2 linked regions of the Daphnia pulex genome follow. The protein of the gene in region 1 interacts with the protein of each later gene in a pairwise test. Links are inferred from orthologs where the notes say so. Each region holds a gene or a part of one and is shown on either strand. Other genes may lie near its edges.

Region 1 (3,193 bases):
TTAACATGTTACTATTTAGACACGAGTCCTGAGGGGAAAAAAGAGGAAAAACAACACGAATGTTTTCAAAAAAACAACTGTCACTTAAAAACGATGATTATAATTTCCTAAAGAATCCCTATAACGTTATGATAATCCAAAATTCAGCACAACCTTCCGGGAGAAATGTGCTGCTTCTATAATGAAAAACTAATCACGCGAGGTTTACACGACACGAAGAAAATACGAATGAAAACAAGAAAGTGTAAAAGGGGAGGAGTCGATGCCATGCTTACATTCTTACTTGGACATTCCCTGGATAGATGGCATGGTCAGTGTGGCGCCAGTAAATTCGTTCTTGATACTGCCGAATAGCCCAATACCACTCCTAATAGCTAATAGGAATTACAAATTTATATATTAAGGTGATGTAATAAAACGTGATAACGGATGAAAAAGAACACTGAAAATGTCTGTCCTTCTGTTTATTTGGTTGTGATATAAATCATAACCAAATCAAATATTTGACTTGCATGTGTATTGGCCTATATTCCAATGAAGCTATAAGATTTTACATCATTTTTGAGAAGGGGATTAGGCCAATAGGATGAACGTTCCGCAAAGAAAGAATGAAAGTTTCCTTTTATTATTTTCCACCATGACGACGACGACATCATTTTTTTCCGTAATAACAACTTAAAAATTGGTTCCCTCTGGTGGTTGGGGCAGCTTCATGTTTTCTTTAAGGGTCATCATCCTTCTTAACTCTTGCAATAGCGTTTTGATCGTATAGTTGCGCTGCCATTTGACCAAGATGCTCACCATTCGTTTGTCAACCTACCAACAATAGTTTGGTTAAATAAATGAAATCCATAAATATATAAAAACAATGTCAGATTATTATTTACCATTCCTGTTGTGTTGTGCACACCATTCATATTGATACGAGTTGTAAATCTGATCAGTGGGCACTCCTCTGGATATTTCATACCACACTCAATCTTCAAACTATACATTCTGTTCTCAAATGCAGTCTACAAAAAAGGCACAAAATAATTATCAAGTTATAAGGCGTGTTTAAATACAAGCTTACTCGAGGGGGGCCAATGATCATGCCTGTCCAGTGTGACAGGGTCATATCACTGTCATCCTCCAAACCCCAACTGATGGTTCCATCACCAACTCCTTTCTGTCCTTGTTCAAGTTCTTCCAATAATCGAAAGTTTCGTGGCACTACCACATCTAAGGTTACAATATCCACCATTTATACATTTGATAATATGGCTAGCCAATAATATGAAAATGAAATAAGCTTTAGAAAAATAATCTCTTTAAAGAGTTAGACCAATTAAATTTTTTTTTCTATTTTTTGACACAATCTGACAGCAAAAAATGGAGAAAAGGAAAACAACTAATCAGTCAGAAAACCGATACGATTTTAACCGAACCCTGGATATTGGCAATAATATGCCAAGTGATCCAAATGAAGTCAGACACGTAAAGTTTGATTGAATTTCATTAAATTTGTGTCAACCATACGAATTAAATAATTAAAAACCAAATTTAGAGACGTAAGAATTACCCGCTGATCCTACTCCTGTGGTTGCCATCTTGTATGAAGACAAACTTCTTACGCGCCGGGTTGCCAGATAGATTACACACCTCAAGCGTCGCAACGCAATGAGCCAATCAGCAAACGACAATGCAACATTGTTATCAACTGTATTTAAAATAAAAAAAAAAAAAAACAAAAAAACAAATTAAGACAAAATTTTGCTAATAATCCATGGTTTATTATTCATTGGACAACAAGGGGTATAAGTAACTAGAATAGGAATCCCAGGCAGATCACAAAGTAGTTGAGTACTATTTCATGTAACAAAAAAGGAGTATAAAAAAGAACTCGTGTGTGCGGAATGACAATATTTCAGAACTAAATAGACTCGAGACTAATTTCACCATTATTTTCATGAGGAACGTTTTTAGACCAGCATAGTTAACAGGAAAGTAATTGGTTGAAAAAACCCCACCGTGGCACTTTAGACAATGTGAATTCTATCGCATTTTGCTGAACTGTTCCATCAAGTCTTTACCAAAATGAGTAATTACATAGTCATGGTAGTACATCATGATGCAAAGAGGTTGACCGAGTATGAGCGACATCCACACCAAAACATTACCTAATCGCGGCCCAGCTTTTTTCTCGACAAAGTGAGACACGGCAGACAATGGTATCTGGGTAAAAGATTTAAGTTATTTAAAAATCGATTAAGGTGATAATTGTAATACCTGCAGCATCATGCCAGAGAACGCCCACAAATTAAACATTCGTAATGGGACACTGACCAAGTACTCGTGAAAAAACGCGCTGAGCAGGAAGACGGACACGGAACCGACAGTTTTACCATAGCCTCTTTCGATCAGTGGCATGTACAAGTGCCTAAATATCAAAATTGTATTTTTATATTACACGGATTAACCGATAATTAAGATAAAACATACCTAACGGCCCACCGGTGAATTGGCATGTTCCAAGAGCGCCAAAAAACATCGATATTAGTCGCGTTCCACCAGTCACCATAAAAATCGCGATCGGCGAATTTAAGAACCTCGCCCAACATGTTAAAATAGGAATGGAAGCAAAGATAGAACCAGATGAGCCATAGTAAGTGATTGGGAATCTGTGTAAAAATAGAAAACAGTTTAACAACAATCGTTTCATTAGAAAAATATGAATATCTTATTTGTAGCGCACCGCTAATTTCAATAATCTTTCGGTGGCAGGTACAGGTTCCATTTTCTGCATAAATAAATTACAAGAGTATGATTTATGATCGATGAATCAATGAATAAAGAAAAAAGGACAAACCGAGAATGTTTCGAGCGAGTTTTTAACGCTGGGAATTATCCATTGCTGGAAAAGACCCAGAACAACTTGCATTCCCACTAATACTTCGATGACTCGTTTGATCAAAAACCGCTTGCGGATACGGGAAGTACGTGGAAAATTGAGTTCGTAGCACAGCGTGGGGATTGCCATAAAAAAATACAAGTCATGGACAGTCAGATTATTTGGATAGGATACTACTTCGTTCATAGATTTGCCGTTGTCTACATCAGAAGGATCTAAACAAATACATAGTAAAAATCAGAAACCGGTTTAGAGGATAACTGGCCTTGAATGATAAGTTATATGGCTAGTACGCACGTGGCT
Region 2 (2,765 bases), on another chromosome or scaffold:
AACGTGATACTCGAAAAAGCAGATGAAACGGTGCCAAGAAAAATTTCTTTTTCACGTTGAACACTGATTTCTCAAGGAAGGCCTTTTGCTAAAAAGTCCGACTTAACACTAGGCCAACTAAGGACCGGCCCTGGACGGGCTAAAATTTTCTAGTATGAATCATAAAAATCTAATGCTTGTAACCGTCTAAACTGTAACTACAATGTAAACAAAACAACCAATTTATTAGCACTGTACTTTCAATATTCACATTTTCACGAAGCAGTGGATTTCGGCATAATTTAGTACATGTAAAATAAATTGATTATTCAAATGAACAACTTTGCAGTTGCATAGCATCACTTTCTCTAACTCACTTTTACCTTCTCAAAATATTAAATGTATCTCATTTCAAAGAGCAAAAAATAACTTTTTTAGATTGCTATGAGGCTAATAAGCCAATAATGAACAAGCAAATCATTATAAGTTATAACAGAATATTATAGATAATTGAGAAGACATTCTATTTCAGATTTATATTTTCTTAACTTTTAAACCATAAAATCTGATATGTTTTAAGGCAACAAAAATTTCTAAATGGATCTAGTCTTCATAAACCCAAACTTTAGCAGCTGGCTGCCATGAAACAAGTTCTTCATCCTTGAACCACAAGGCAATTTCCTTGTTGGCACTCTCAACAGAGTCAGATCCATGCATGATGTTCCTAATTTAAAGGCAAATGTAAAGTACAGTCTATCAAGTATCACTCAGAACTAGTCTTACCTGCCAACTTGAACACAGAAATCTCCTCTGATGGTACCAGGCTTGGAGTCAGCAGGGTTGGTCTCTCCCAACATTTGACGGCCAGTCTTAACAATGTTCAAACCCTCCCAGACCTGAGACGTACATTGCATGTATTAAAATTGACTGCTAAATGAAGTAACAAAAGTTTACCATTGCAACAACTGGTCCAGATGCCATATACTTCACCAAACCAGCAAAGAAAGGGCGGCCAGACAAGTCAGCATAGTGTTTCTGCAATAGCTCCTCAGTAGGCTATAGTGACATACACCATACATAAAACACAATTCAGAACAAATGACACATTTTCTTGACATACAGAACACAACTACTTTACAATCATACCTGCAGAAACTTGAGTGCGACCAATTTGAAACCTTTCTGTTCGAATCTTTTGAGGATTTCACCAACGAGTCCTCGTTGAACACCATCAGGCTTGATCATCAAGTAGGTACGTTCTTGATTTCCAGACATATTATTGCAATGGCCTGAGACTTGAAAGAAAGAAAGAACTGACTTATCTTAATGTCACAAGGTGAATGAACGTGATTGCAAAAAGCAGACGTGTAAGTTAACTTTTTACATTCTTCGCCTCCCGCGGTCCCGCCCAGCGGCTGCCCTCCCGCAAATTTCCGACATCTATTGGGCAAGAAATCAACTCCATTATCATTTGACAGAAGGTGTTTACTTCGTGTAACCTTGAATTTCTGCTTCGGGCGGTCACTTGAAGTCGTTTGATTGTTGTAGAATGTCTTTGTAAAATAGTCGATGTAGTCATCCAAGTCGTGACAAGAGCTGTTTATCGAACTCGCTTTTGTCTATTCCAGTTTTGAGCTTATTGATAGGCTTCATTTATTTGGAACATGGAGGTATATTTCCTTTATGTTATTCAGTTATTTTGTGTTAATTCCATTGAAATCAGCGATTATCGATTAAACACGTACATCTCCCCTGAGACTTTTGTTGCACATCTAAATTAATATAATTGTATAGTACCGATGATCTTATTTTCTTTTTCAGGGTATTGCTGATGTGTTTAGGTGCTTTATTTGCATGGACAAATTGAGAGATGCAAGATTATGTCCCCATTGCTCAAAACTTTGTTGCTTTGCCTGCATTCGTCGGTGGCTTGTGGAACAGCGCTCACAATGTCCTCACTGCAGACTTCCACTCCGACCTCATGAGCTTGTCAACTGTCGATGGGTTGGAGATGTTACTCAGCAATTAGAGAGCCTCCAGCTACAGAGTGCTCCTTCAGTTACACCATCCAGTTCAGTGTCAAACAGTGCCAGCACCACTGATTTGTAATTTTTTATCTTATCTCCATGAAAATTTAGAATCAACATGTTAATAATTAATGAATTAATATTTAAAGGTGTGATATGCACAGTGAAAAACTCTCAGTCTATTGTGTCACTTGCAAGAGCTGTATTTGCCATAAATGTGCACTTTGGGAAGGTACTCATTCAGGCCATATGTTTCAGGTAATTACAATTTTGTAGGATAAAAATTAGATTAGAAATAATATAATTTCTTCTCTTATCAGCCTTTAGATGGAATGTACGAAACTCACGCAACTAAAATTCGGGACGGAATTGCCCAGCTAAGGAGAAGACTTTTAGAAATAAGCATGATCGTTCAAGATGTGGTAAAACATTAGTTTTCATAACATTGCCAGTATATCAATCTTTTTTTTAAATGTGCCTCATTCATTAAAGGAGCGTAACGTCGAAAGTGTCCGAACAGCGAAAGATGAAAAAGTGAGTGAAATACGTCATGCGGTAGAATTGATAGTATCTCGTCTAGATTCTCAGCTACGAAGCAAACTCTTGTCCTTGGTGGGGCAAAAGAATGTTCTGACTCAAGAAACTGACCATTTGGAAGCATTGTTGCAGGTAGATTTCTTTACACTAATGTCTTTAAAATTTTAAAAATTGTTTTTATCACTTCGCATTTAAGGAAACTGAAGCAACACTGCAGAATGA

The links.
Region 2: the proteins of ubiquitin-conjugating enzyme E2 variant 2-like (region 1) and nucleoside diphosphate kinase-like interact in a two-hybrid assay, tested with the Caenorhabditis elegans proteins (2 studies listed by BioGRID). The link is inferred for Daphnia pulex from reciprocal best matches to the Caenorhabditis elegans genes uev-1 and ndk-1.

What each region holds. Positions count from the first base shown.
Region 1 is NC_060018.1:3,969,905-3,973,097, reverse strand, and holds ubiquitin-conjugating enzyme E2 variant 2-like, read right to left. Parts: upstream 1,697-3,193; 5' UTR 1,590-1,696; coding exon 1,562-1,589; intron 1,222-1,561; coding exon 1,073-1,221; intron 1,014-1,072; coding exon 888-1,013; intron 817-887; coding exon 676-816; 3' UTR 501-675; downstream 1-500. Other genes in the region: diacylglycerol O-acyltransferase 1-like, read right to left, coding at 2,035-2,214, 2,269-2,419, 2,482-2,660, 2,735-2,779, 2,849-3,105, 3,188-3,193. UniProt on the Caenorhabditis elegans protein: Involved in protein ubiquitination, but has no ubiquitin ligase activity on its own. The uev-1-ubc-13 heterodimer catalyzes the synthesis of non-canonical poly-ubiquitin chains that are linked through Lys-63.
Region 2 is NC_060028.1:8,036,083-8,038,847, forward strand, and holds nucleoside diphosphate kinase-like, read right to left. Parts: upstream 1,388-2,765; 5' UTR 1,255-1,387; coding exon 1,126-1,254; intron 1,036-1,125; coding exon 934-1,035; intron 876-933; coding exon 763-875; intron 704-762; coding exon 583-703; 3' UTR 501-582; downstream 1-500. Other genes in the region: E3 ubiquitin-protein ligase TRIM37-like, read left to right, coding at 1,644-1,649, 1,801-2,084, 2,156-2,264, 2,327-2,428, 2,499-2,675, 2,740-2,765.